2 linked regions of the Caenorhabditis elegans genome follow. The protein of the gene in region 2 purifies or fractionates together with the protein of the main gene of each other region. This does not show direct contact. Each region holds a gene or a part of one and is shown on either strand. Other genes may lie near its edges. The genes, in order: gdi-1 and unc-108.

The links.
Region 1: the proteins of unc-108 (region 2) and gdi-1 purify together in Caenorhabditis elegans (affinity purification with western blotting, with the first as the bait; one study listed by BioGRID). This does not show direct contact.

Annotation. Positions count from the first base shown.
Region 1 is NC_003282.8:14,779,850-14,794,760, reverse strand, and holds gdi-1 (Rab GDP dissociation inhibitor), read left to right. Parts: upstream 1-1,910; coding exon 1,911-2,949; intron 2,950-3,225; coding exon 3,226-3,479; intron 3,480-3,536; coding exon 3,537-3,623; downstream 3,624-14,911. Other genes in the region: coq-3 (Ubiquinone biosynthesis O-methyltransferase, mitochondrial), read left to right, coding at 1,141-1,301, 1,354-1,551; melo-1 (RRM domain-containing protein), read right to left, coding at 4,098-4,271, 4,326-4,474, 4,528-4,613, 4,696-4,911, 5,247-5,355, 5,646-6,463, 6,655-6,780, 7,378-7,577; nlp-56 (Neuropeptide-Like Protein), read left to right, coding at 10,542-10,670, 10,733-10,813, 11,028-11,171; Y57G11C.1130 (uncharacterized protein), read right to left, coding at 11,444-11,585, 11,636-11,844, 11,894-11,929; Y57G11C.8 (Cyclin N-terminal domain-containing protein), read right to left, coding at 12,046-12,335, 12,391-12,454, 12,502-12,699, 12,746-12,826.
Region 2 is NC_003279.8:3,816,222-3,832,665, reverse strand, and holds unc-108 (Ras-related protein Rab-2), read right to left. Parts: upstream 9,784-16,444; coding exon 9,761-9,783; intron 7,720-9,760; coding exon 7,598-7,719; intron 7,545-7,597; coding exon 7,301-7,544; intron 6,906-7,300; coding exon 6,623-6,905; downstream 1-6,622. Other genes in the region: azin-1 (Antizyme inhibitor 1), read right to left, coding at 1-420; F53F10.8 (Transmembrane protein 234 homolog), read right to left, coding at 3,984-4,175, 4,225-4,416; mpc-2 (putative mitochondrial pyruvate carrier 2), read right to left, coding at 4,629-4,680, 4,729-4,868, 5,220-5,429; npp-11 (Nsp1_C domain-containing protein), read right to left, coding at 11,342-11,415, 11,471-11,658, 12,264-12,734, 12,785-14,264, 14,336-14,428, 14,476-14,587; E3 ubiquitin-protein ligase ubr-1, read left to right, coding at 15,870-16,023, 16,078-16,328.

The sequences.
Region 1 (14,911 bases), on a different chromosome or scaffold from region 2:
TCTTCCTCCTCGCGCACTACACACCATCTTCACAGTTGACTTGAAATTGAGTCTTCTCGACGAATTTCCTTTCTTTTTTGTTGAAAAAAGTGTTGATCCAACCCAATTCAATTCGATTTCCGGTGCCCCCTTGGAATAATTTTGGATACAAAGCTTTCAACTCTTCTGTTCTGTTCTCTATTTCCCTATTTTGCTCGCCGTCTTCTCCTCCTCCACCCGTCCGGCTTCTCCTCTTCTTGGACATTTTATCGATTTTGTTCTTCTTCGGTGTTGTGTCTCTCTCTCTCTCCCCCCCCCCTTTTCGATGTGTGGGCCAACACAACAATCCCCACATTTCTGCGTCTCGTGTTCTCACCCTCATCCGGTTGTGTCTGCGTCTATGGCTTGTAGGTTCTCGAACTTTCAGTTCTAGATGTCCTAGACTTCAATTTTGAAGGTCTCAACTGGATATTATTACAGTTCGGAAGTCTTGAATAATACTAGATCCAACCCAGATGTCCTCAGATGTTATTTGATCTCTCCAGTCTCTCGCCGTCGCTCCCTTCTCTCAGTCCATTTTGGACGCTCATTTCGACCGCCATCCCGTTTGGGGTTAACCGCGGAGAGAGTGAGTGAGAAAGGGAATGAGCGCTCAAATTCACTCTCACTCACACTCACACGCAGCAGCATCATCTCGTAGACCCTCTCTGGTTGTTGCTGTCTCTGATGACAAACATTCCCTAACTGGGCGCCCCTGTGTTCGTCGTTGCCACGTGTCATTCTATGTCGGCGATTCGGCCATTTGAAGCTCGATCCACGTGTCGCTAGGACAGCTGACGTCATCTTTTCAACTATTATGTTTACTGCGATTATACGAATCAATTGGTGAAATTATTTAGAATAACCTATTTTTTGAGTTGTTTACGATTTTGAAGTCACTTGACTGAAAACTTTCACAGAAAAGGTCTTAAATGAAATGAAACTCTTGCGTAGACTTGATGAAGTTCTGTGAAACTCCTACGTACTCTTGAATAGTAATCGAAAATTATTGATTTCTACTTCCAATCTACTCAAAAGTTAAAAAATATTTCGCAACACATCTTTTCCCCATTCTTTTCTGTATTTTTTAGCAATTTACCTTAAAATCTTCAATAATTCCAGCCTACGATGCAGTCGTCGCTTCGGAAATTGTCGAACACGTCGCCGATCTTCCCGGATTCATTGGCTGCCTCGCTGAGCTGGCTCGCCCCGGTGCCCCGCTCTTCATCACAACTATCAACAGAACGTGGCTGAGCAAATTGGCAGCTATTTGGCTTGCAGAGGTTTGATTTTTTTCTTTCTTTTTTTTTTGGAAATAAATTTGAAAATTTTCAGAATGTACTCAAAATCGTGCCGCCCGGAGTCCACGACTGGGAAAAATTCATCACACCCGCCGAGCTCACTTCACATCTCGAAAAAGCGGGTTGCCGGGTGACGGCGGTGCATGGATTAATGTTTCATCCGGTTGGAAATCACTGGACATGGATCGAATCGACTCAGTGTAATTACGGAATTTTGGCAGTGAAGAATTAGATTTGAAGATTTTTTGTTTAGTGTTGCTAGTTTTTTTTTCATGTTTCCATATGTTACTGGTGCTATTTTTTTTAATTTTCAAAAAAAAAAATAATTTGAGACCTAACTCTTTTAAATGTCAAACAATTGGGTTTGATCTACCCGCAAAATATCTGATTTTCAACAACTTTATTCTCTGCGTCTCTCCCTCCCTCCCTCTCACTCTCTTTCTTCAGTTTTTATAATTATTTTCTTGAATTCTAAAATTTCCTTTTTGAAATTCAACTTTTCTTTCAGTTTCTCTTTCCCCGCAATTTTCCAAATCACAATCCGATCAATTTTCAGGAGTTCCAACCAATTCCCCGAAAAACTCGCTCGAAATGGATGAGGAATACGATGCCATCGTTCTCGGAACCGGCCTCAAGGAGTGCATCATCTCGGGAATGCTGTCGGTTTCCGGAAAGAAGGTTCTCCACATTGACCGAAACAACTATTATGGAGGAGAGTCAGCTTCACTGACTCCACTTGAGCAACTCTACGAGAAATTCCACGGTCCACAAGCCAAGCCACAACAGGAGATGGGACGTGGACGTGACTGGAACGTCGACTTGATTCCAAAGTTTTTGATGGCCAACGGGCCATTGGTCAAGCTTCTCATCCATACTGGAGTCACTCGCTACTTGGAATTCAAGTCGATTGAGGCCTCGTTCGTTGTGAAGGGTGGAAAGATCTACAAGGTGCCGGCCGATGAGATGGAGGCTCTTGCCACTTCCCTTATGGGAATGTTCGAGAAACGTCGCTTCAAGAAGTTCCTCGTCTGGGTGCAACAATTCGATGAGAACAAGGAGGACACTTGGCAAGGACTTGACCCACACAACAGCACAATGCAGCAGGTTTACGAGAAGTTTGGCCTTGACGAGAACACCGCCGATTTCACCGGACACGCGCTGGCCCTCTACCGTGACGATGAGCACAAGAATCAACCATACGCTCCAGCTGTTGAGAAGATCCGATTGTACTCTGACTCATTGGCTCGTTATGGAAAGTCACCATACTTGTACCCATTGTACGGATTGGGAGAACTTCCACAGGGATTCGCTCGTCTCTCGGCCATCTACGGAGGAACCTACATGCTCGACAAGCCAGTCGACGAGATTGTGATGGAGAATGGAAAGGCTATTGGAGTCAAGTGTGGAGATGAGATTGTCCGTGGAAAGCAGATCTACTGCGATCCCTCATACGCCAAGGATCGTGTCAAGAAGACTGGACAAGTTGTCCGAGCCATTTGTTTGTTGAACCATCCAATTCCAAATACAAATGATGCTCAATCCTGCCAGATTATCATTCCACAAAAGCAAGTTGGAAGACATTATGGTAAATTTATAGTCTTGGAAAAGCAGCGCGTCGCACAGAAAAGAGGTAGGGCGTAATTTTGCAATCTTGCGGCACGGGTTTTTCCTACTTTTTTTGTTAATGTTTGAATGAAAATATTATCGAATTTAATTATCCGAAGACTAAAATAGTCTCACGATCCTATGAGAATTAGGTAAAATTGAAACTTTATTGAAAAATAAATTAAAAGGAGGAAAAACCGAGCCGCCGGTTTGCCAATTTACTCTCCGCCTCTTTTTCTGTGCGACTCGCTGCTTTTTGCAAAACTCACGCTTTCAGCATCACTAATTCCCTTTTTTTCAGACATCTACATCTCATGCTGCTCCAACACGAACATGGTGACACCAAAGGGATGGTATTTGGCAATGGTCTCCACCACTGTCGAGACAGCCAATCCAGAGGCTGAAGTTCTTCCAGGACTTCAACTTCTTGGCGCAATTGCCGAGAAGTTCATTCAGATTTCCGATGTTTATGAGCCATCTGACTTGGGATCTGAGTCACAGATCTTCATCTCTCAATCTTATGATGCTACGACTCACTTTGAAACCACTTGCAAGGTAATTTAAAGAATTTAAAACAATTTTTGAAAGAAATTATAATTATTCATTTTTCAGGACGTGCTCAACATGTTCGAACGTGGAACGACCAAAGAATTCGACTTCACCAACATCACTCACTTGTCGTTGAATGATCAGGAATAATTGAATATCCATTCCCTTCTTTTGAGTACTCTGATTTGACGCTTCTGATGCTGCTTTTGCTCTTTTTTGTCGCCTCTATAAAAAAAACGATTCCCGTTCCGTTTGTTTCTCCTGTCCAATGTTCATTTTCAACCGATTTTAATTTATTGTATTTTCTCTTTTCCAGTCTCTATCCTCATGTGATTCCCCGAGAACCCTTTTTTTAAATTTCAATTTTCGTCCCGAAAACAAAATTTCTTCCCACTATTTCCTTTGTATTTAACTTTACAATTCCCAAACAAAGTCCGCTTCGTAAATCTATAAATCACTTTATCCTTTTGAAGTACTTCATTACAGAAATACAATTATTATCACGATCAGAAAGTTTGGATAGGATGGGATTACATTTGATGAAGGGAGATCATTTCCATTTGAAAATTGGAGAAGAATAAGCATATATGTTTTTACATAATTGATTAAAGAAAAAATCCCAGTTTAAGCCATCACAAGCAGAGCATCGAGCTGATCATCGACACGTTGCATCATCTTTTTGTACAAATCCTCCATATTCTCGAGCAATGCCATTTTCAGTCCGAATTGTAGAGACTCGTCTTTAGCGAGAAGAGCACGTGTGACGACCGCATATGTTTCACAATCGTTGCGAAAAGCCTGAAAAATAGAAAATTTGACTCAAATTAGTCAATGAGTAACTTGAAAACTTACCGATTCGAGTTGCTTCTTCTTAATATGGAAACGCATCATTTGCTCATCGTTGAGCTTCGCAAGCTTCAACTCCCTCACCATCGCCTTCTCCTCGTCCGCCGAGTCATCTTCAGTGGCTAGTGATGAGAGACGGAGAGTAGAGAATCCAGCTGAAATTATATATTGTTTTTCGAAAAAGCCCCCGCCGGTTGTCAATGGTTACCTTCGTCTTCTTCCTTTCTCGCTGGCGGCTCATACTTGACAGTGGAGAGGAGAGCAGATTGGAAGGCTTTGAGATGACCAAAGAGTCTGGAAAACATTGATTTTTTGAGGGAAATATTAAAAATTAGAGAATAAATATTAGTTTTTCAGGGAATTTCGAAATTCATACTTATTCGTGTTGGGGTGCATTGTAATGTCGGGCATACTTGAACCACCACTGATAGCAGACCCATTCATAGCAACTGGGTGAGCAGCGGCAGAAGCAGAAGCAGCAGCAGCTGAAACCACTGGAGCCGGCAGAGAAGAAGGCATAACTATTTCGATTCTGCCAATTTGACGGGGCACAAACGCAGGTTGGGGCGTGGTCGGTGGTGGTTGTGGTGGACTAAAACGGATTACACAAACGTGAAAATTTGCCCCGCGGGGAATATGGTACCGGGTCTCGACACGAAAAATTTTTGTTAAATACTTACAAACAGGTGCGCACCTTTAAAGAGTACTGTAGCTTCTAAATTTCCTAGCAGTGCTTTCAATTGTTTTTCTCACGATTTGTTAAAATAAAAAATGATTTTCAACAAAAAATCGACAAATATTTCAGTACACTTTAAAGGCGCATACCTGTTTGTATTTATCAAAAAAAAAAACTGTCGCTTGGAGACCACGAACCGTATTTTTGGAGCAAAACTCTCAAAAAATTTGGCGTCTGGGTAATGAACTTACGCTGTAGGGAGTTGTGGTGGTATTGGTTGCTGTTGTTGCTGTTGTTGCTGAATAGGTGTAGTGGTATAATAAGAATTGACTTGAACTGGCGGTTGAGCAGGTTGTGGGGCTGAAAATTCAAAAATTGACACTAAATAGATATCGAAAAATTTCAAGAAAAGCTTTTATGGCGGTTCCAAAAATTTCGAAAAAATGGGCCAATTTTAACTAAACCCTGAATTTTCGGCAATTTTCCCTGGTCGCAGCGGTTATAAATTCATTTTTTTGTTCGATTATTGTTTTATTTTACAGATAAAAATCTATTTCCGGCCGTTGTGACTCTTGAAAATCGGCGAAATTTCAGATTTGAGTTAAGAAATAGCCCTTTTTTTGAGAAATTCCTTTAGTGACTCCTCTTACTCTCTCTAACAATCATCTTCGGAGTTGCTTCAACTTCCATTGGCACTGAATAGGATACTGAAACTGGACTTGCACCAGTTCTGATTTGATTATATGTGTTGTTGGATTGCTGGTACTCATATTGATTATTGGAAACATGTGGAGGACTTTCCAATTCCATATCATCTGCCGTCGGTGGTGGAATGAACGATGCAGATTTTGAAGCTTTTGGAGTTGGTGGAGCTGGAGATGGCGATGCTGCTGCTTCAGTTTTCGGTGGAAGTGGGATTTGAGGAAGCTCTTCCTTCACACTCTTCTTTGGTTGAGTTTCTCGTACATCTTTCCGATCATCATCTGACAACTCTCTACGTCTCTTCTGTCGTGCTTCATTATCTTTGACTCGAGACTTCTCATCAAACGATTCATCGTCGAACGAATCAACATCATCCGATTTTCTCGAGTGAGCACTGCCCGATCTTCCCGAGCTACGAGACCGGCTTCTGGTATTCGATCGGCTTCTCGATCGATTCTGACTTCTACTACGATGCCGAGAGACTCTTCCATTTCTAGATGCCGGCGACTTTGATCTAGACACACTTCTTGAGCGGCTTCTCGATCGGCTTCTCGACGGACTTCTGCTTCTAGATCGGCTCTTCGATCGTCCTCTTCTCACTGGTGGCGACGCAGATCTCTTCGAAGACTCTTGTGAATCAGAACGACGACGGCGGCGTTGACTGTTGCTTCGAACCTGCTTGGCACGCTGATAGGCACAATAACGACGTATATCACGGAACCAAGAGAGATCACAACGGCATCCCATGAATTCACGATCCGAATATCTGAAAATGGAGAGGGTTGCTTTGAATTTCTTATTTTCGGCAATTCTACAATATTTTATTGAAAAATAGTGTCAAAATATATAAATTCACACAATTTATCTAAAAACACCATTCTTTTCAGCTGAGAAACTAGAAAAAAATGGAGCAATAGGCCATTTTATAGAATTTCCGCCTATCCCTGATCCACTTACGTCTCCATAAACTCCTTAGCCTCATCACGATTCTCAAATCGAACAGCCACGAATATCTTGCTCTTATCTTGAGCCACTTTCACGAAATCGAACGAGATTTTTCCAACTTTTTCGCCAATATATTCCCTAAAACAGGCATATAATTAAAAGGGCAGTGTGGGAGAATTTCACAATTTCGTGGGGGGCCACAACTTTTTTGGAGTCTGAAAATGAATTAGGTATGTTGAATATAGAATAGCTCGTGCATTTGGTGTTAATTCAAAAGCATGAGAAATATATTCCATTTGAGAAAAAAGAGACGGGGGAAAAAGAGAAAGAGATGGGTGGGGGGTGTCACACACTCGAATATATATATTGATATGTAATACACTCACAATGTGAAAACTGGTGGAAAATTTTAGAGACTTGTAATTGTAATTGTAAATCATTTGTTGCAAAATTCGTTGCAAAAGAAAAGACCGTATCCCACAGCGCGACATCATCAAATTATTTTAGAATGAATTAGAATTAATGTTGGGTGTGTGTGTGTGTGTGTGTGTGGGAAAATAATCTCCCTGTAGGTAATAATCAACACATAGTAGGATAGAACTCTCTTTTCCGACTGAAATATAATAATGATTATACTGATTATTGATTTGGAAATTTAAATATCTGAAATGATTTTGAATAGAAAACTTGGCAAAAAACTTTCAATCAAACATTTTCTCTCTACAAATAGCCTACTTGATCTCTTCCGTCGAAATATCACCATGAAGTCCTCGAATAAAAATCGTGTGCTTCGACTGAGGAACTTGCGTCTCATTGATTCTCGGCAAATTGTTGTAGTGATGATGATGGTTATTGTTGTTGTTGTTGTAATTATTGTGACGGAAACCTCCACCGCCACGATGATTGTTATATCCATAGTTGTTATTGTGATACATTATTATTATAGGTTCACTGGAATAAATATATGCACTGTATCAATATATATATATAAAATAAGAAATTAATAGCGAGAATACTTCTGAAACTGGGGAGGAATTGGGGGCACGCACACACACAGCGATAGTAAAATACTAACAGCAACGACGGCCAGTCGCCTTTCCATCCCCAGCACAGCACATCGAGACGGATAGATAGAGAGAGAGAGATTACATAAAAACGAGAGAATCATACGAAAAAGAGAAATAATTTAGAGAAATAACGTGGTAAACGTGGATGGTGAGTAGAATGCAAAGAGTGAGAGAGAGAGAAATAGATAGGAGACGAGAATACATTCGAGGAGAAAAAATACGCAGAACCAAATAGTATTTATTAACGTGGCGTTTTGGGACGCTACAAAATGAAATTGATCGGTGCAAATATTGCTTTTGGCGGGAGATTTGAATGCAATATTTGGAAAAAAAGATGACAGAGAAATTGCTAATACTAAATTTTTTCTGGAGTGAGAAAGAAATTCTGATAAAAAGTTCCAGCAATAAGTGTAGAAAAAAGTTTAATAGGCATTTTTCGTTTTTAGTTTCAAAAATACAGTAGCTGCAGGTCTCGACACGACAACATTTTGTGACATGAAAAAAGACGCGCGCCTTTAAAGATTACTGTAGCTTCAAACTCTCATTGTTGCAGAATTTTCATAGATTTTTCAGGAAAATGTATGTGTTTTAGTGTTATATTCTTTAAACGAACACACATACTTTTGGGAAATCGATGAAAATTCCAGATCAACGAAAGTTAAAAATTACAGTAATCTTTAAAGCCGCACACATTTTTTTTTCCTTTACCAAAACTTTGTCGTGTTGAGACCTTCGCACAAAATTTCGAATTTTCTGCTTTATAACGAGGTACAGTACCCCACGAGGAATGAAATCTGGCAAAGTCAATCCTCAAACTATTCTATGAAACCACTGTTCAATAGAAAATAATTTCTGCGAATGGAGGAACGTTCTATATATTCAATTCCTTCTTTATATCTCGACCAAAATCTCCATTTTAAAGATTTTCATCTTCGCGGTGGGTGACCCATTTTCGGAATTACTGGCACGAAATGTCGATAAGGAAGAAGAAGACGTGAATTTGGAGAAAAAAAATACATACTTAACAAAAAAAACTCAATAACTTATAAGCTGAGAGAAATAGGATTAAGAGTAGTTGAAGAGCTCAGCGCACATAGAAAGAAGGTGACAATGTGTCTAATGAGAACTGGTGGAATTTGTGAGCCGACTCTCTTATCAAAGTGAAAACGAAAAAGCTGTGGCAGAGCTTTCAGGTGAAAAATGAAAAACGAAAAACAAGCCAACCGTTAATTATTTTTACTTGTGTTGGCGTTGTGTGCGAGTGTTGACATATACGCGGTTTCCCGTGGTTACACTGCCTTCAAACAAACTGAATAATGTGACGATTTATGGCTTTTTAGGAAAGAACGACTGCTGGTGGAAGGGGACAATGCACAATATGCTTTTGACTTGCAAATTTTACAATCGATCAATTGGACGCTGCTAGAGCAGATTCTCTAATTGGATCGATTTTATTGCAAGGTTCGCAACACATTGTGTGGCATTGCTTATCGAGAAGGAGTGTACGTATTTTAGTTGTCAAAAATACGAAGTGATTCATCATAGTGGAAGAACCATTGCAATACCTGCACTATCGATAGTAAGTAGTGATAATGAAGTATGTAACGAAAGTGAGTGTATATTTGCAAAGCGGAAGAAGGAATAAGAACGGACGAACTGGGGTCCAAAATAAGTATTTTTCGGATAATTTTCACTGTAACCGTATGCTAAAGCCTGTAAAAATGACCCCACGTGGTGTCAGGCTGTCTCATAGCGGTTTGATCTCCAAAAAATGCGGGAATTTTTTCCCAGAAAAATTGTGACGTCAGCACGTTCCATGCGAAATCAGACGAGATGTCTGCGTCTAAATTCCTGCATTTTTTGTAGATCAAAGCGAAATGGTACTTTCTGACTCCACGTGTGACCCGGTACCAAGATACTACGAGGAAGTGAACCCGAGAATGCACTGTAAATAGGGAGCAAAAGCCAAGATATGGGCGGAGCCTATTTCTCGATTTTTTGTAGGTCGGAGACGGCAATTCAGATCTTCCAGATTCAAAAAACGAAACTTGGAAAATCTGAACGTTCAATTTATGATTCATACCAACCTATAAGCCCAAACTACACACAATTTCCAAATCCGAACTTCCAGCTCAAATGACGTCACTTTCTGCTTCATAACTACTCCGAATTGCCAAATTTCAACTCATCTTATTATGGAGCTTTATAAAATCCGGGTCGTTTCTCTCTCCCATTTTCCAATTATAGATTCTATTAGATTACGACGGCAAAAGTTCAGCGGTGCGGGGTTAGAGAGAAGCTGACATTTCATGGCATCAATCCATCATCGAGAGGTACTGAATAGGCTCAGACGGACCGTGACCACAGAAGATGAGAGGAGGAGTGGATATAGTCGAGGAGAAGAATTTCGATCAGTTTGTGTGAGCCCTAAGGTTCTCAGTTCTCAGTTTTCATGTTTCATTTTTTTTAATATTACGAGTTTTTCAAAAATGTTTTCTTCATTTTGGTACTTAAAACATTAAACTTAATATAAATACTAAGTTTAAACCATGCCTACGTGCAAACTCGACATCTATAGTGGTCCTTTAATGGGAGGAAGTGACATATAATTATTCATTTCTGCTCCCAAATATCCAAATTCGTCATTAATTTTTTAGCGAATAGTTTTCTACGAATTTTTTCTTATTCCAAAAAAAAAATATTCGAAAACAAAGCATTCCACCCTCAACTTGATTCATTGTTTCAAAACCAATAAGTAGTGCAACGGTCTAGATCGAAATGTTCTATTCTATTCCCGACACTCTTCTAAACCATATGATTCAACTCTTCCAGATGCCATCACCTTCATCTCTACTGGGCTCCCTGCTCCTAGTGTGCGCCGTTTTGACCATCACTTCCCGAGCCTCCTCAATAATGACAGATGACGTCGAGCCGCCACAGCTTCTGACACGTCAGCTAAGGGTGAATTTTTGGGGACGGGTGGTGCGGAGTCACGTCCTGCAACTAGATTTTAGCATTTTCAGAGTTTCCCTTACTCGGTATCGTTCTATCGAATGTTAGGACACGATCGTCAGTTGAGACCCTACTATGGGGTTAATGATGAGGTGAGTCTGAGGAAAATAGTTGGACAGTCGTTTGTTATTGTATCTTTGTTGTATCCTAGGACGCCACTTCAAAGGTACACGTAGTTTTTCTAAGAGGGTCTCGCCACGATCTCAGACAGACTGGCCGCTACAAGGGCTAAATTTCACAGAATTGTTCAGTAGATGTTGGAATACTTTTGAGTATACAAATCGTCTCGAAGCTCCCGAATTTCAGGTAGCTGCTCTGATTGACTCTATGAACAGCGATAACGTGGCAAATGAAGACGTGTTCCCAACGAGACCAAGAAGGAGTGACGGCTTGAGAGGTTCGTTTTACTGGGCAAGGTTCGTAGTGTGCCAACCCGTGCTTGTGATATAGTTTTGGCTGGCTGGCTTCTAACCTACCGTAACCCCCATTTCTCATTTTAGGATACGCCTGCCGCTTCAAATTCTGTAGAATATACGACGCTTGATGGTGACGACTTACTATTCTCAATCATCAGTTCCCTCCTTGTTTCTGCAGTGTTTTCCAACTCTCTTTTTTTTAAACAAATGTCAGTTCGCCCCCGTCTTCCCCCGTAAAATTTATAATTCTAAGCATTATCGAAATAAATATCCAAGAATTGTTTATGGATTCGGATTCATAATAGTTCACTTTGCTTTGTTCGATTTAATACCATCGCTAGCTGGAGAATGTGAAGAAGAGAGAACCTTGGACTTGTTACCGCCCATTTGAGCTTTGAGCTTCTTATCCCGGAGCACAGCCTTCTCACTCTGAATCGATTCAATATCTCTGCAAGAAGAAGTTGAATCTTTTGTCTAGAACAATAAGAAATCCCCTACGCCAATGTCCTCTCATCCGACTTTTTCGCAGCTAGTGGAATGTGTGGAGGTGCGACTCCAACCGGAAAATCATCGTTCGTCGGTTTGGATCCAGAACCCGACGACGTTGCGGCTGCAACTTTTTGAACACCTGGTTGCACGAGAGAAACGTCTCTTTCCGAGTTTTTCTTATTACCCGCACAAAGAAAGACGGATAATACTGCGAGTGTCTGGAACAATGACAATGTAACACGAAAACTTCAAAAAATGAAAACGAACCAGAAAATTGATTTGAAAGAGAATAATACTAATCATTTTGCATCAAATCAGACGACGAAATGAATCGAAACCGTTATAGAAAGAGATCTTTGCCGCCTCAAAAAAAATTAGAACGACACGAAAATTTACTATATCTTTAAATTTAAATATTTTTAAATAGCCTCCAACTCAAAAGCACTAGTTCCATTTCCACTGTATTCCTCGCTCTTTCCACCCATCAAATCTTGCTCAATGAGCACTCTCATCCGTTCCAGCTCATCCAACGTGGCGTCTCTACACAGCATCTTGTACCACGGATCGCTCGCTGTGCCGATATTTGGCGTGATTTTGTGAAAATCTATCAAAAAATAGACAACGGACAAGGCGATCGTTTCATTGGAGACGTGTGCGGTTCGAACCAAATGACTAAAGTCGTGGAGCACAGCGAGAGCACTGTCGAGCACTGAAATAAATAAAATAAATTATTTAAAACTGGTTCTATATTCAATTCGCCTTACTTTTATATTTTGCGAACTCGACTGGATTCACCGCTCGAATGTAGTCGAGATATAAAGCCAGAATCTGAAAGTAAAACAATTTTAATTTCTTCAAAGAAATCATCAACCTACCCTCCACGCGTCATCATGATTCTTGCATTTTACAGAAGCTGGGAATGCAAAATTTTCAGCAACCGCGTGATACGTGTCGGTTCGCTTGAAACTCGACGACTGCGGCGTGAAATTTATTTGAGTCGTGTTATCCTTTATAGAATCGGGCATTTGATCAGGCTTCTTTTCATTTTTTGTCGCTGATCCGGTACCATTTTCCTAAAAAAATTCGAAATTTGCCCAAAATTCAGTTTGGGCAACCTACATTTTCCTTCTTACCGCACATAACAAGCACCAATGAGACGGACAGAACGTTGATAGAAATGAGAACGAATAGAAATGGCATTTTTTGTGAACAAAAACTTTAGAAATGATGGAAAAATGAGAAGAAAACGAACAATTTTGAGAGAAAACCAGACTTCCACGTTCACCCCGTAAATTCACAGCGCCTCAGAGCGGGATAGAAGAGAGAAAAAAGTGGTTTGTGCGCGCGAGCGCGCTTGCAGCGCCCCCACGAGAAATTTCCACGGTGGTACACACTAGTGTCGGATATTTACGTGAGAGTGGTTGTAGCTATACAAAAATAGAAAAAAGGGGAAATTCTATTTTGGGCAAGGAAATTAATTGAATTCAAGGAATTGTTTTTGTGATTGCAAACTGAATTCAAATCTGAAATTTTCGCGCCACACTTGGAAGTGCGAGAGAGTGTACTGATAAAGGAGACGCAGATATATCATTTCGCACAACGCCTCAAATCGGGAGAGTTGCGAAAATTGAGATGTGAAAAGTCCAATGGAGCGCGCTTGCACATTTTACCGTATCCTAAAAATATGACTCTAACCATTCACCTAAAATAATGACTCTAACCATTCACCTAAAATAATGACTCTAACCATTCACCTAAAATAATGACTCTAACCATTCACCTAAAAATATGACTCTAACCATTCACCTAAAATAATGACTCTAACCACTCTAACGTCGTCGTCATCTGCTCCACCGACCAGCACACAGAGACGCTCGAAAAACGAGAGAAGAAGAGGTTGAGCGACAAGAAACGATGGGAGGAATTAAATGATGCAGCGAAGGAGGTATGTTATAAACGTATTCAATTTATGATTGGAACCTAATTGTTTCAATTATTCAGGTGGTTCGAGCTAATGCACGAGAAGCGACAGCAAGACGCAGGGCTGTTCGCGATGCAGGCCTTCCAGCGAATCCGAAACGCTCGCCACGATATTCTCCGCAACCGGACCCTGCCTCTTCATCAACTTCTTCCACGCCATCATCCACATCATCCTCGCCGCAGCCATCGTCGTCGTCATCCACTCCACTGAGTCTCTGTGTGCTGGTCGGTGGAGTGGATGACGACGACGATGGCTGCGGCGAGGATGATGTGGATGATGGCGTGGAAGAAGTTGATGAAGAGGCAGGGTCCGGTTGGGAGAATATCTTTTTGTTTTGGGGTAGGTTTCCACGGCGGCCGACAATTTCCGAGTTTCGCCACTCACTATACTTAATCAGCAATTTTATAGTGAGTGGCGAAAACAGATTTCAAATTAATGCGCCCGACAGGTTCGAAAAGCAAACGCGCTCTGTTGAACACCTTCTGCGCGCGCATTCAAATTTAGTTTTTTCTTTCTTCCAAATATTTTTATACGGAAAGTGATAGTTTCACACTGTATTTGCAAATTTTAAAGACAATTTTTAACAAAAAAATTTTTTTTAATTTTTAAAAAATAAATTCTCAAAAAAATTCCGGTTTTTTTCAAATTCTAAAAACACTGATAAGACTCCAAAATATCATAAGGGTCCCCCCTTATGAACTGAATCTTCAGCTCCAAAGGATCACAAAGGTCCCCCTTATGAACTGAATCTTCAGCTCCAAAGGATCACAAAGGCCCCCCTTATGAACTGAATCTTCAGCTCCAAAGGATCACAAGGATCCCCCCTTATGAACTGAATCTTCAGCTCCAAAGGATCACAAGGACCCCCCCCCTTATGAACTGAATCTTCAGCTCCAAAGGATCACAAGGATCCCCCCTTATGAACTGAATCTTCAGCTCCAAAGGATCACAAGGATCCCCCCTTATGAACTGAACCTTCAGCTCCAAAGGATCACAAGGGTCCCCCTTATGAACTGAATCTTCAGCTCCAAAGGATCACAAAGGTCCCCCTTATGAACTGAATCTTCAGCTCCAAAGGATCACAAGGATCCCCCCTTATGAACTGAATCTTCAGCTCCAAAGGATCACAAGGATCCCCCCTTATGAACTGAATCTTCAGCTCCAAAGGATCACAAGGATCCCCCTTATGAACTGAATCTTCAGCTCCAAAGGATCACAAGGGTCCCCCTCATGAACTGAATTTTCAGCTCCAAAGGATCACAAAGGTCCCCCTTATGAACTGAATCTTCAGCTCCAAAGGATCA
Region 2 (16,444 bases):
AGCATTTTTGATAGCTTTACGAGTCATCAGTTGTGAGCAGAAAACTGCTCTCGATGGTTCGACATTCATGCTGACTAACTCGAGTTCTGCAGTATTCGACACTTCAAAGTTGACATCGATGTTGTTCGAGAGAACTCTAGCCAACACTGGATCAGCATTACAAGCGACTGCATAGTTGGGACGAACTCTTGGAAGCATCACACGAAGTGCTTCAAGACGTCGTTCGATGGCAGCGACATCCATCACAAAAAATGGTTGATAGGAACCACAACGAGCGGCGACGTGGCGAGCCATTTCGATTGGATTACGGTAGGCTCCAGAGAGAACGGCAATCGATTGCTCACCGAACATCTCACGAGACCATTCCGGCTCGCCAGCCGGAGTGTAGTAGGTAGACGAAGGAAGGCGGTGTCTCACCATCAGTTCTGAAAAAATATTTATATTAACAGCTATATTCTTGAAAAAAATAATTAATTAAACTCACATTTTATATCGATTTGTTGTTTAATGGGGAAATTGAATGTGCCAAGTTATGGCGGGATGTGACGGTTGTTGGAAACACGCGATGCGAGCTCTTCACGCGAGATCCACGAGACGTCGTCCGGAGGACAGAGACGGGCTGGAGACGAGGAATGAGATGAGGTCACCGTCGAAATTTTGATAATTGACGGAAGACCAGGAAAACGGGCGAAACGAGGCGGTCTATTGATTACCGGCTCGTACGCACGCTACTGGGCGATTGAATAGAAAATGAAGAAAAGGTTATAGATGTGAAGAGAGAGAGTCGGTCAGTCGGCAGAACGGGAAGCGATTGAAGAACAGAGTTGACGTCTGAAATTTGTTAAATCATTTTTAGAAACATTTTTGGTCAAATGTCTACTTCTACGAGTTTAAGGTACACGATAGCAACATGGTCTCGGCACGTGCGCGAAATCTAGAATATTTGATGTATGCGCCTTTAAGATTACTGTTAAGATTTTGTGTGCAAATAACTATCTATTTCAGTTAAATAAATAAATAACACAAAAACTATAAAATACACTAGAAAAATCGGCTGAGATTTGAAAGAAAAATCTGTACATTAATCTTAAAGGCGCGCACACCAAATATTTTAAATTAATTCGACGAGCGTGACAACACCGTTTTGCACTTATGTAAACTCGTAGAAGCACATAAGAAAATTCACTGTATTAACCTCAGGCTTTCGGATCTGGATCCCAAGGTGGCTCGGCGTTCTTGTCGAGTTGGATTTGACTGGCGCGAAGTTGAGGCTCCGCGTAGATCTTAGAGATCTGATCGACTACCTGTAATAAAACAACTATTTTCTGAGAATTCAAATATTACAAAAAAAAACTCACAGCGCCACTTAAGGGCGGTATGGAAGACTCGTTAGATTCCTCGGCGGAGGGAATCTTGGACGAATTGGGGACAGTTCGGGCAAGCTTCCATGCACACTCTCTCCCTTGGAGTGCACGGAACAAGACGATTTGTGTTAGTAGTTCACACGCAAGGTATCGAGTTCAAATCCGAGCACGACGGGGCACGGATTCTATTTGGAAAAATTATTGATTGGATTGATTGATGGTGTTAATGGAGAAATTAGGAGGAAGAGAATACGAAACGTAAGATAACCGACACAATATAATTTTATTTTATTGATTTTGATGCGTGGAAAAATTCAACATTTATCGATTTTCTGTTGAAATACCTTTAAACTTCCACGTAACCATCGTTATGTGATGTTCTTTCTATAGAAAATGCTAATAATGCCTGTCAGAATTAGGAAAGTAGACAAAGAAAGAGATGACTTGTAATCAGAAAACTGTATAGAGCAAGCAGTTCTAAATGATAAGAAGAGTGTCACGAGGAACGACGTCACACAAACTTTTTGAATTTTCTAGAATAACGCACACACAAGAAAAAGAAAAAGAGGGAAGCAGCTTCTTAAAGATATCCTGTGATGATGTCAGAGAGTCAGTTGTTTTCCGTTCGTCCCTAGAAGGAGGCGGCAACAGACACAGTTCAAAAATCGAAAAAAAGCGACCGAAAAACACGAACACCGGTGTTTTGATGGTGTTTAGAACTTTTATTTTTATGGGGAACAAACAACGAAATTCAGAAAAGAGCATTGCGTAACAAACACAAGGTTTTTGATTGATTCTAAATAGAAATTGAATTAACTTCCGGTCACAAGAAAAATGAATAGGAGCGAAATGCTAGAAATTGATTGATTTTTAGAATAATCTGCTCCGCAAAAAAAATTTCTATGGAAAAGATAAGAAAGAAGGCAAAGTGATTTTTAAAAGACAAATGGCAAGTTGCTTGTGAAACTTGGCGTTTGATAAGGAGGGAGGTCGCGATATAAGATCGGTATACCGTCAGCCGTTTTCAATTACGAAGAAATTTGATAGTTTTTTAAATTTAAAAATAATATTAAATAATTGAATATTTAATTTATCAAGTTATTTTTATCACAATTTGATTTTACTGGCGAGAGAAAGTGTGAATGACCTTGGCACGTGAGTGTGAGTTGAGAGAAGTTGCGAAATTTTAGATTTTTTTTTGATTTTTTACTTAAAAGATAACTTTCAAAGCTGGAAGTCTTTGAAAATTATGAATTTCCGCAGAAGCTCCCGAACAAAGTTCATCCTGAACAGCAGACAAGGGCAGAAGACAATTAAGAAAAAATCTGGTGACTGATTGGAAAATGAAGCCGAGAGGAAAAAATTGTGCGGGCGGCTTGTGATAGAAAAGAGAAAAAAAGAAATTTTTCCAAGAGAATCGAGACGCAGACTTGGGGCCAGAGAGCAGAGAAGCGGGGGCTCCGAGAGCATGCATCACAATTCCGCGCTCTTCTATTTTGGCGTGTTTTCGAAGGCTGTCGCGGAAGAAAAGTGGTCACATGACACCGTGGTGGTCAGCAAACGAGTTTTTTTAATGTTCTTCGCTTCGTAATCATTAAACTTTCTGGGAATAGAGCTTGAGATATTGGGGATCTGATAAAACGCGCTAATTATCGAGTTACACTTTTCAATCGATTACACAAAAATCGTAGAAAATTGTAAGAGAACAACGCGGAGCAAATTTCGTGTGAAAAATGAACTGAAATTCGTTTAAAAGGAGAAAAACTAAGGAATATTTCGACCGAAATAAAAAAAATTCAAGAAAAACGCGGCAATGCAAACACGCTTTATTGCGAAAGTGTCTTGAACCTCTCACTTTCGCACAGTCTCTCGTCAGATGATATCATTAATGCATTTTGTAAATAAATATTTTCTGATTCTTGGACAACAAATCGATGAAGCTATAGCTATAGCTAATGTTGATTCAATTCAAAATATTATAAAAAATATTTTTATTTTCTGAAAAAAGGAAACCCGAAAAGCAAAAACTGCTCAAGAAAGAAAGGCAAATAAATTATTATTCAAACGAATTTCACAGAGAGAATTTAATCGATAAATAAAACTTTAATCGATAACACACGTATTTGTCGACAAGTTACAATTGTATTTTTTTCGGGAAAAATCGGGGAAGAAACATCAAAAAAGGAGGAAACATTTAAATATCATGGGAATCGGGAAGGACATTACAGAGATCGACGAGTTTTTGATGTTTTGGGGGGTTAAAATTCAGAAAAAGCGATAAAAATTGTAATTTTAAGAAAAAAAATCTATAAATTAGGTGAATAAAGGGAACAAATTGAGATTCTGTGCATCAATTTCCGTGGCGTGCTCGTTTTGGTGGAACTCCGGCGTCTCCTCGATCCTGAAAATGAAAACTTTGAGATTTTCCAGACACGCAACCAGAGCAATGGTATTTAGAGACTAAAATTGATTGTAGTTGGTAGTGTGAGCCTCACCAAATACAAAAAATCGGATTTATATGGTTCTTTGAAATTTCAGCAAAATTTTGGCTGAAAATTTGACTTTTTCCGTCTAAAAAGTGCGTTTTACATGAAAATAACGTTTTTTTTCACATTTAATTTAATCGATAATCAGCATTCCAATAATTGCCAACGATGAAATGGTCATTCCAATTTTCTGCTTCCTTGTGGACACCTGCATTTTCTCTCCCATCAACCACCCGACTGTAATTGTTGCGATGAACTGAATCGCATTCACACACGGAACAACAACAGTAACAGGAAAGTTTACAACAAGAGCGTTGAACATTACCTAAAATACATTGTTATTCTATATAACTTGTTCAATGTGTTTTGTTCACCGATCCAGATTGATTAAGAGCGAAAGGGATTGAGAATCTCCAGTTGAGAAAAGATTTCAAAAATCCCAGGATTATTCCATTCTTTTTGTTCTCCAGATCTTTTGAGGCTGCTCTGAGCAATGGATTAGTAGCTCCCCACACAAATCCAACAACGATTATTGATAGAATACATTGGACACCGCATTCCGACATTCAGGAAGCTTAGTGTTTTGTTATTAGGGAAGTTCGAAGCTCAACTTGTGTTAAAAAATAAAAATATTTCTAAGAGTTAATCCACATATGATATCGAAGAAAAGGGTTTAAATTCAAATTTTATTCATATTTATAAATCTTTATTGTATGTATTGTGTATGCCTGTATACAAATCACTCGTTGTCGTTCCTAAATCTTGAAAAATTATGGATTTAATTATGGGTCTCCATGATCTCCTTCGTCTCCCAATCCGGATTTTGATACCTAAATTTTATACATAATTGCAGGGAAATAGAATAAATTTGAATATACCTGTAATGTGCAATTCTACAGAGCTGGGCGAGCCCGGTGCACATGACGAAAAAGTTCACACTACTCAAATAGTAGTTGATTGGGGTGATGACAAGGCAATATCTCGTCCAGATGGCTCCAGTGGCGAAGAGAGCAGAGTTCTGAAAAATTTAGATTTTAATGCATATTATATTGCTTTTTTCGGTAGTTTTCGAGAAGAAAACACTAGAATTTAGATTAGTTAGAAATTTATCTCATTTTCATGTATCCACCTCTACGAGTTTCAAGGAGGACGCGTTTATGCGGAATGGTCTCGCCACGCGCGCCTTTGAGGTTACTGTAGAGATTATCTTCATTTTGAAAAGAAAAACAAACGAGAAGAAAACAACGAGAAAAACCTCTAAAAATATGTAATCAATACATCTACAGTAACCTTAAAGGCACACACACACACCAAATTATCACTCCAGTTTTCGCTGCGGGACCAGAAAACAAATTTCACAAATCCCTACCTGATAAAGAGAAAGCTTATCAGCAGGTCTGGCCAAATCAGCGAGTCCAGCGCCGATAAGAGTCCATTTGATGGTTGGGGCCCAGAAAAATACAGTTTTCGGACCGGCCGCATGATTCCAAGCCGGCTTGGCGAATGCTGGAAGCACCGGATAGACAAATTTATCTCCGGCTTTGCACAGAGCCTGGTAGAGGAGACGATGTGGGCCCATTGAGGTGTATTTGTGGGGCTGAAAATGAAGAAATTAAATTTGATTTCGAAATCTGCGAAGAGAAGAAAAAAGAAGAAATGAGAAAATTGTTAAGAAGAAAAAATATCAAAGAGATCAGAAGTTAACCAATGTTCAGAGAACATAATAGAGTCATCGATGTCTGATTTTTTTTGGTAAAAAATTTTTATTTTTGGTAAGAATATTTTTAAAAAATGCTAGTTTTTCAATTATAGCGACAGGTTCGCACATTTTTTTCGAAAAAAGCGAAAAATATTTTTTTGCAAAAAAAAACCAAAGGTGCGCCTTTAAAGAGTACTGTAAATTCAGATTTTCGTTGTTGAGAAATTTTCATAGATTTTTCTAATTTTTTTCGATTAAAAAACTAAAATATAACAATAAAAGCACATGAAAAAAAGAACATTCCTCAACAACAAAAGTTTGAAATTACAGTACCCTTTAAAGGCGCGCACCTTTTCACATTAAACAAAAATTGTCGTGTCGAGACCTGGTACAGTACTTCTGGCACGAAAATCGAAAAATTTCGCATCTTCTAAGAAACCATATTTGTAAAGTTTCCAAAAAAAAAATCTTGCCACTAATTTCTTCTAAATTTTCGTCTCTCCCCATATTCTTATCAATTCAATCTTTTATCAATCAATCTGTAGAAAATAATCAAAAAGAACTTCAACTTTAAGAAAAATATATTCCATCCTCGACGAAACGCTCATAAAATTCATTTATTTCACTGAAAATTTTGATAGCTTGGAGACGTATAGTAATTAAATGGAAAGAATTAGAAAAGGAAAAAAGAAGTAGAGCTTACATACAAACTTTTAAGAGGAAATGAGGGAGAGAGAGCGGGATTTTCACAACATGTTGTTCTGATGGATTGAGTGGAAAATCACAGGAATTTCAGATATTCACACAATTGGTGAGAGACTGAATGAAAAGGAGAGAAAATAGAGAAAGAGAGGAGAAAGAGAAAAAGCAGGCGACAATATACAGTAAATGATGGTAGTAATAAGAGACAATTGCAATATATATGTAAAGTAAAATTATGGTTCTGGAAGAGAGAAAGGAGACTAGAAAAGTGCCTAACGACATTCGAAAAGAGGAGGAAACATAAAAAAGATTGGTATTCAAACGATTTAGTTAAAACATTCAAAGCTCATTCAAAGAAACATCATCAAAAATTAACAGCATCCAGATCCACCGCCCAATCCTCCCGTCGCATTTCCACCTGGAGAATTTGGTGAGCTTGGAGAGTGCTGTGGTCCCAACTTGATTCCGTTTGCCTCATTGTTAATGTCGAACACGCCTTCTTGAATCTTACGGTAGATCTCTTTGGCAGTGTCGATGAACGCCTCTTCCACGTTGGCAGCCGTCTTGGCAGATGTCTCCATGAATACGAGTCCGTGCTCTCGTGCGAATGCTTCTCCCTCTTCACGTTTCACTTCGCGACGGGCTTCCAGGTCACTGAAAACATTTATTTTATTTTTTTGAATAAAAATGTGTTTATTTGGAAAACCAAATTTCTATAAATTGTTCGATTTTGTAGAGAAATTTTTGAACAATCGATCCTTGAATTTTGCAAAAGGCAACTTGACACTTCACACAGAAAGAGATGCGGAGCGTGAATTCGCAACCCAGTGGCACTGTTTTTTCTCCTTTTTTTCACAGCTTTTAATCAAAAAGGTTTCGATTTTACTATTTTTTTAGTTTTGTTCTTTTTTTTCGAATGAGAATGCAGTGGAAAACCGGCGAAAATTTTTATTTTCAAAATTCAAGGATCGATCGTTGAATTTCAACAGTAGTTAACCTATTTTTCGATATATTAAAAACCAATAATCTATATTTTAAAAAAATGTTACCTCTTATTTCCAATCAACATAATAACCATATTGGAATTACTGTGCTGCCTGGCATCCTCAAGCCAAGATGTCAAATGATTGAATGTGTCGCGTCGTGTAATGTCGTAGACGAGAAGAGCTCCGGCGGCTCCACGATAATAGGAACGAGTGATGGAGCGGAATGATTCTTGTCCGGCTGTGTCCCAAATTTGAAGTTTGATCTGCTTTCCGTCAATTGTCACCATACGGGCTCCGAATTCGACGCCTGGAAAATAATTATTTTGAAAAAAAAACTTGAATAAAATTTAAAAATCGCACCAATCGTCAAATCATGAACTGGCTGGAAACGTTTGTCGGTAAACTGAAGGAGCAAGCAGGATTTTCCTACTCCAGTATCCCCGATGATAATGTACTTGAAAAGGTAGGCATATGACATTCTTCTGGAAGTTGATTAATTGATTAATCGATTATTGATTGATCGGAAAATGCTCAAAAAAGTGAAAAAAGAGAGAGAAAGGTGGTAGAAGTAATAGAAGAAGAGAACACACACACACTGAAAAAACATAAACTTTGGAAAATTGATGACGTGGTGTGGACGAGGCAGACCAATCAATACTTCCTCATGACTGAGGAGCGTAGTGAAGGAAGTTACGAAATGAGGTCGAATCATATGATGAAGATGGATAAGAAATAGGGAAAAGTTCGGCCAGCATGTTAGAAAACATTTTTGAAGCAAATAAAATTGGCGAAAATAGCAGAAAAGAGCAAAATTTTTGAGCAAAAAAAGTTAGTTAAAGTCAATATAACCTCTTCCAAACATATATATTCCAAGGAACCCATGCCTTTTTTTCACATTTTTTCACTCTCTCTCTCTTGCCACCGCCACCACCAACACAGCCAAAAAATCGAAGAGAGTGAGCGCGTGGTGAGTGTCTCGTGAGCGTGGTTGTGAGCGGAGGGTTATCTCTGCGTCTATAACAAGAGAGATGAAGAGAGATAGAGAGAACCAGAGAAAGAGAGGGAAAATGGGAGCAAAGAGATGTGTGACTATTTATTTCGGATGACGTGCTTCTTCGTTTTGCACACATACACACACAGAAGCATATCCTGAAAACGAATGGATCGAGTCGTTTTTTTTCGAGAAAAGAATAACACAAGTGATGAACGGCGGGTCTGGGTTTTATTTGGGAGCAGACTTTTTTTGCTGCCAAAAAATGTAAATTATTTTAATGAAACTACTGTACTTACTATTGTGGTTATTTCAAGGTGGAGTAGAGCCACAATTTTTTAGTTTAAATGACCGAATATAACTGCTTGAAAATTTAAAAAAAAATGTTAATGTTTTTTTTTTTCAATTTTGCCAAAATAAAATAAATGAGCAATAGGCTTCTTGGAGATATCTTTTTTTGCAAATTCAATTTTTTTTCGGATTTTCTTTTTCATGTTCCTTTAAAGGCACATTACATTAATTTCCATGGGTCTCGCCCAGATATGGACAAAAATTTTTTTCAGATTCTAAGACACATAGATCAGAAAAAAAAGAAATAAAGTAGTCTGCTGGCAGGAAACACGAATAAGAAGGTGCAATTGGAATTCATTTCAGAAGATGTGCGCTCGTGAGATCTCATATGTTTCTTCTTCTTTTTCTTCTTCTTCTTCCATGTCAAATGTCGGGGGCGCGGCTCTCTAGAATCGGGAATAAGAGAAAGCTGAGCGAAAAAGAGAGGGACTCCTTTTCCCTTTCGTGCTGTTTAATTGGGTCGAGCCCCTCGTAGCCATGCACAAAACCACACACACACATATATATATAGCCAAACAGAATTGGCAAAAGAGAGTGTGCGACAGATGAAAATTTCAAAAATTGATTTCCGGTCATGGGCTTTTGGAGAAATTATTTCAATTAGAAAAAAAAAATCTAAAGTACGATCACTTCATTGCAACTGCCTATGAAACAGAAGTGAATTACGAAGTTTATAATGAAACTGACGCCTCTCAACTAATGGCTTTTCTGTTATCTACATCGGGCAAACGAAAGTGTATGCGTTATCCTTTCGCCCTTTAATTGATCGCATAACTAACGATGTTCAAATTATTGTAGTCTCAATTGAGAGGGAAGTTCCAATTCACTGGAATGATCGAATAAATTTGTGGAAATTCATTTCAGAAGAGCTAGTAGACCTAGCATACATCGTAATAATTTAGGACCTACTATTATATCAATAATTTTTTTTTTAACTTTAAAAGTAAAAATCGGTAAAAAGTTTTAAAAACTTCAAATTATATGCTTAAAATCTAGGCCACTGGAATTAAAATAGCAGATTCTACAAAAGTCGTAATTTTACTCGAATTTTACTCAAATTTTCTTAACAAGAGAAGTGAATGTGAAAAAAAAGCTGGTGCATGGCCATATTAATAAACTTAGCCCAAAAGATTCAACTCTGCAATAGAGAGCTTCTCTTCCTTATTGGACTATCATCATACCCGTATAGCGGAGGCGCAGACATTGTGCTTATGTGAAGTCACGAGAATCACGGGTAGAGAAGACGACGACGACGACGACGCTGAATTCACGTGAATAGGGGGTTAGTGAGATTGAAACGAGAGAGAGAGACGTAGAAGACGTCAACTAGAGAGAGAGAGAGAAGATAGAAGCTGAAAGAGAGGCTTTGTTAGACGATGTTGGAGAAGACTGAATGGCTATAGAGTTCTACTCGAGTCACCAATTACGTGGAGCTGGAGAAGAAAAAAAAGAGAGAAAACAGAAAAGAAGAAAGACATCTTCAACGAAAACACACTCGGATCCTTCATTTAGCCGGACCTCGGGGCAAACAGATTTTGCATAATGAGCAAGGCGAAAGCTTGACGAATTTTTCGGTTAAGAAGAAGAAGAAGACGAAGAGGAAAGAATGCGGGAATATAGTCTCTTCAGGTGTACGAATAATCCTCCACTTCTGCTCTCTGAGAGCAACAATTGCGAATGAGCAGCACTATTGACGACACAACGTTGAGAAGAGACGGAGAGCATTTTTGCACTTTGACGAATACTAATTTGGAAAAAATGATATCACTCTTTTTCAATGTTGGGAAATTTTACATCAAGGGTGTCGGTTTTTGAATTTCCACTAAAAATCAAAAAAATTTTTTTAAATTTTGGCTATTTTTATTATTTTTTGAAAAGAAAATTAAAAATTGTTTTCGTAAATATATTTTTTCATCAACATCAAAAACAAAAATTGGTGAATTAAAAAACTTATTTCTAAGAAAAGTTTAGTTTTTCGATTTTAGCAAAAAATTGAAAACCTGACACCCTCGATTTTCAATACAGGTGGTTACTCCTTCGAGGAATCTTACGATATTTGATGAAAAGTAGGGTTTCCAGTCTCGAAACGATCGATCTCGCAGCTACCGTACTTTCAAAAATCACAAAATACTAACATTTGACTAGGAGCTCCTAGGGATGCAAGATAAATTGATGAAATCAAAAAAGAGAAACATCACTGTAAACGTTTTCAAAATCACAAGGAAAAGCAATTAGAAATTTCTAGAGCATCAAAAACTATGATAAGGATCTTTTGATAACAATAGTGACCCCCGCAAATGGGGGAAATTCAACGAAATTCGTTGAAATTTAAAGAGCAAGAGGTAAATACTTGGGTATAACTTGGGCCACATATTAAAATGTTAATTTTTTTAGTTAAATAAAATTTTCCAAGCCAAAAAAAAAAAAAAAATGAAGAAATAAAACAATTAATTATATTTAAAATTTAATTTTAAAATGTAGAGTTAAAATACACAAGTAAATATTTTCCAAACAAGAAAATATAAAATATATCAGTGTAATTTTAAAAAACACTTGAAAAAAAAAACCAAAATATAATCAATATTTTTTAAAAACAAGTTCATTCACAAACTCAACCAAACACACAACAAAACAGACAATAACAAAAAAAATAAATAGTGTGATGGTGGTGATCATGAAGAAAACAGGTGAAAGTGTATAGGTTTAAAGAATTAGAGTTTCAATTTAAAGAAAAAATGAATATATAAATAAAAAGTAAGAATCTAGGCCTTCGACGAGTTGTTCGTTTTCAGATTGTGGTCATCCTTCAGCTTGTTCAGCTTATCACGAGTAGCATCTGTAAAATAAAAATTGACATTTAATAATTTGATTAAAAACTCTAAAATTAGTACCGTGTTGAGTGGAGAGATCCATCAGCTTCTGCAGCTGCTTCTTCATAATAAGCTCAGTTTTCTCCAGCGGGGTCTCGGTTTTCGTCTTCAAAACTGTCGATTGCATTGTGTTAAGTGACTTGGTGATTTGATCGAGATCGAAGTCCGCACATTTCATTTGGGAATCCACGTTGAGCATCATTTGAGCGCTGGAATTTTTTTTTGAAATTATTATTTTGATTTTTAAGGGGAGTAAGGTCCAGGGCTGTCGCTTTTTGCTTTTTTTCTTTCGTCTTCAAGACTGTCGATTGCATTGTGTTAAGTATTTTCGGAACAAAAAACAAAAAAAATGCTTTCAAAAAGTTTTAGTTATTATGATTTTAAAAAAAACCTGTGGATTTTTTTGCTTAAATATTCAAAAACTCTCAACAAGAAAAAAATCTGATAGTTTTATGGCAGGATTTTGCGAAATTTTGTCAACTTTTTCTTTGTCGCAGCGGCTGAAATATAGTTTTTATCGAATTATCCCGATTTATTGCATATTTTGATTATTTATCTGGCGTTAATTCGTTAATTTAGTCATATTTTAAGTCGATAGCTATTCAAAAATTACGAAAATTGGATGCAAATCGAGCCAAATCAACGGAACAGCGTGAGATAATCAACCAAAGCATGCCAAATAGGGCAATATATGAAAAAAAATCAATTTCCATCGGCTTTTACAAAGAAAAAGTTGGGAAAACTGAAGTTTTTAGCTAAATTTAATATATTTCTTAAAAATTTAATCCATTAAAAATCAATAACTTTGACGTACATTTGCACTCTCTGAACATCATGTCTCGACGCAAATCTGCTATCAAGTGGGAATTTGTAATCAAGAGTATGCCATTCTGGAAGGCTCAGCTTGTTCTCTAGCTCAACAACATTTTGCTCAATATCGTTCAAGACAGAAGTCATGGAGGCGACGTTGAAATGCAGTTTCTTGCAGCTTCCACTCAAATCATCCATCTCATTGTACAATCCTAAAACTTTTGGCTCGAGTGTAATGAGCTCACGGTCATAAGCATTAAGCTCGAGCATTTTATTATGGAATACTCGTTCCTGCTTCGCAATTTCCGAATGATAACTATTGACAACTTCTTGAAGGGCGGTGAAGAAGGCTTTTGTATCATTTCCACCGAGTCCTGCTTTGATTTCTTCTTCAGAAAGTGTGTCGCTTCCACTTGCACCAATTTTCAGGCCTGCAGATGTAGTTGCAGCTCCTTTAAGTCCTGATGTTGTCCATCTGAAATTAAGAGTTTTTTTTATATTTTTAAAAAGTAAACCAAAATGTACCCAGTTCCCTTAGCCAATGGTGTTGAAGTGAGCCCTAGGCCAAGTCCAAGAGTTGGAGTAGCTTCTGCTGGCTTTGGAAGAGTGGAAGTAGTGCTGGTTGTGGTTGGAAGAGATGGAGTTGCTGACACTGTAGATGGAGTTTGTCCCAATGTAGCGGCAGTAGCAGGTGTTGTTGTAGTTGCTGCTCCAAACAATCCACCGGTCGGACCTACAGTTGCTGGTGCAGTTGTAGTCGCAGCCCCGAACAGGCCACCAGTCGGAGCTGCTGCGGCGGGAGCAGTTGTGGTTGCTGCTCCGAATAATCCACCAGTCGGAGCTGTAGAAGCAGGCGTAGTTGTGGATGAAGCACCGAACAATCCTCCAGTAGAAGCCGCTGGAGCTGCACTAGTAGCTGTTGTGGTTGCTGGAGCTGTTCCGAACAAAGATCCAGTAGCTGGAGCTGATGTGGTGGTTGTCGATGATGCTCCAAAGAGTCCTGCTGTTGGTGCGGCTGGGGTCTTAGCAGGAGTTGACGATCCGAAGAGACCTCCGGTTGGAAGTGAAGCGGCCGGAGCAGCGGCGGTAGATCCGAATAATCCCCCAGTTGTAGATGAGGTTGGTGCTGCGGCTGCGGCGGTGGTGGCTCCGAACAATCCTCCAGTTGAAGCTGCCGCTGGGGCGGTGGCAGGGGCTGCCGCAGCGGTTGTAGAAGCACTAGAATTACCGAACAATCCAACAGATGGAGTGGATGCTGAAGCAGCACCAATGCTGAAAAGACCTCCAGTAGCAGCGGCGGGAGCAGTAGAGGCTCCGAAAAGACCACCAGTGGCTGGAGCGGACGAAGGAGCAGATGTTGGTGCTCCGAACAATCCTGATGTGGCAGTTGTAGTTGCAGCGGTGGTTGCAGGAGCGGTAGAACCAAAAAGACCTCCCGATGGAGCTGCAGGCTTTGGAGCTGCGCCGAATAGTCCACCAGATGAAGCTGTCGCAGCAGGTGCTGAATTTCCGAATAATCCAGAGGTTGGAGCAGCATTGCTAGTAGCTGGTGCAGCCCCGAACAAACCACCAGAAGGAGCTGGGGCTGTGGAAGTTGGAGCAGCTGAAGATCCGAATAAGCCGCCGGATGGAGCCGCTGTAGAGGTGGAAGTGCTTCCAAATAGTCCTCCTGGTGCTGCTGGAGCGGCCGTGGATCCGAATAATCCACTTGATGGCGCAGCAGTTGAGCTACCGAAAAGCCCGCCAGTTGGTGCAGTTGTTGCGGTACTTGTGGATGATCCGAACAAGCCGCCAGTTGGAGCAGCTGGTTTATTAGCTCCGAACATGCCAGCACCAGCTGATGGTGCGCTTGCGCCAAACGTTACTGTAGCAGGTGCTGCTGAATTTGCAGAACTTCCAAAAATGCTCGTTGAAGCGGGAGCTGGCGCCGCGGCACCAGAATTTCCAAAGATTCCAGCAGACGCTGGGGCTGGAGCTGCAGCAGAGGAGCCTCCAAACATTGAGCCTGAAAAATTTAAAATTATACTTTTTGAATACGGGAGCGTATTTTACAAGTTTATTAAACCAAAAACCTACCAGTAGCTGTGCTGTTTCCGAAAAGTCCAGTACTTCCAGTGCTCGGCTGTGCGGATCCAAAAGAAAAACCTCCGGTAGTATTCGTGTTTCCGCCTAAAAACGAAAAAAATAAATTAGTTGAATTTTTCATCGATCGATACCTGTGTTCGCTGTTGATGTGCTCGAATTACCGAAAGAAAATCCAGATGAGGCTGTTGTGGTAGCAGCGGTTCCTCCGAAAATCGACGGTTTTGGTGCAGATCCTCCAAACATTTGATCTGGAATGATATTTTTAATATTTTTAAAGGGCAGCAATATTATTTGACAAAAAGAAAACGACAGAGAGGCAGAAAATAGTCATTTGAGTGCACAAATGAGCGCGTCGAGATTCGAAAAATGATTTGGTGGTCGCGCGAAAATGATGGCCTAAAAACACCGCAGACTAGGCCGGCGGCTGGGAGGAGCACGCGACGTCGGCGTGAAGGAGAAAAATCGAAGATAATTTCATGTGCTGCAGTTAGTTTGAAAATATAAATATTTTTGGGCCCGAATGTCTTTGTGGTTTCTATTGCTATTCTAACTTCTCGATTACAACTTATAATATTGATCCATTTTTTATACTGATATTTTAAAAAAGTTATGAAATGTGAAGAAAGATCTCGATCATCGAAACGATGAGCAAGCTTCTGAATATGCAAAGTTTTCTATCACAAAGGGGTAAAAACGCGGGAGAACCTTTTTTTCCTGCTGACCAAGTACTTTTCACGAAGAAATACTTTAATTTTTGATGAAAATAAAAAAGAAAACTATATACAAACTCAAAAATCTAACAACTCTCAGCGATCCACGCAAATTAGGAAATTGAAAACAAAAAGAGAAATTTGTGTACCGTAGTCCGAACACTTAAAGGCGCATGCCTCACCTTCAGGGTCTCGCCACGATCCACTTCCCAAGGGTTTTATTTTTATTTTTTTAGATTGTTTTTTTTCGCGAAATCAGTTATTTTTTCGGTGAAAAAGTATATTTTATTGCTTTTAAAGTCAAATAACTTTTATTAAAATATAGTTTTAAATTATTTTGACGTTATATGAGTGAAACATTCAAAGTCCACGTGCTCTAAAGTCTGATTTTAAAAAAAAGTTTTTTTTTATTGCTTCGCCAGTGAATTCGCTGACACGTAAAAATAATCAATATTTTTAATAGTTCAATTTCCTCATTGTTGAATTATTTAATCCACGATGCATTGCACCGAGTCCGTGAGAGCTCTTTATCTGCGGCAACACTCTCGCATCGAAAACAGAGAGAGAGAGAAGCAAATCTATATCCTCCCGTTCTCTCTCATCTCCTTCACTTTCTCCTAGTGTCCACTGTCATCATTTTTGCCTCCCATCACTGCTTTTTGTCCTCTCGTTCGCTTATTTTGATATGGTCATCAGCAGCATAATCGGGGGGTCGGAAAATAATCAATATATTTTATTTTCTTTTACGAATCCTCTTTTTCTTAGATGAAATGCTCCTATTTTATCAAGCTACCGATTTCAGTTCGACTAATGGAATGATTGTCGATTTAATACAATCAGCTCGACAGGGTGAATGGGCCCAAGTACGCCAGCTGCTGCTCAAGCACTGGCTTGTACAGGTCCCAGAGGTGTTCGAAGTGAATTCGGATTTGCCATGGGACAATACAGCCGCGAATGAACGAATTCTAGGTGGGTTTTTTTGAAAAAAAAAACATATATATTAAAAAGCCAATTTTGCTTCAGGTTCCCAAGGAGAGATTCTCCTAGCCCCACTGGTCAGTGCATTTGTACTAGACGTTCGGAACACAAAGAGCACACTGGAAGCAATGAATGGCATTGCCGGAGTTGATCCTGCAAGACGGGGACAAATTTGTGGCCATGTATTTAAAAACGGAGAACTTACGTATACATGTCTGGATTGTGCCACTGATGGGACATGTGTCATGTGTCTTCAGTGTTTTGAAGTTTCAATTCATAAATCTCATAAATACAAAGTGAGGATGCCTCAAAATGAATCAATTTCCACAGAAAATTTCTGAAAAAAAACATTCAGATTTTAGCCGAAACTTGCCCTTTTTCTCGAAATTTTAAACCAACATAGACAAAATCT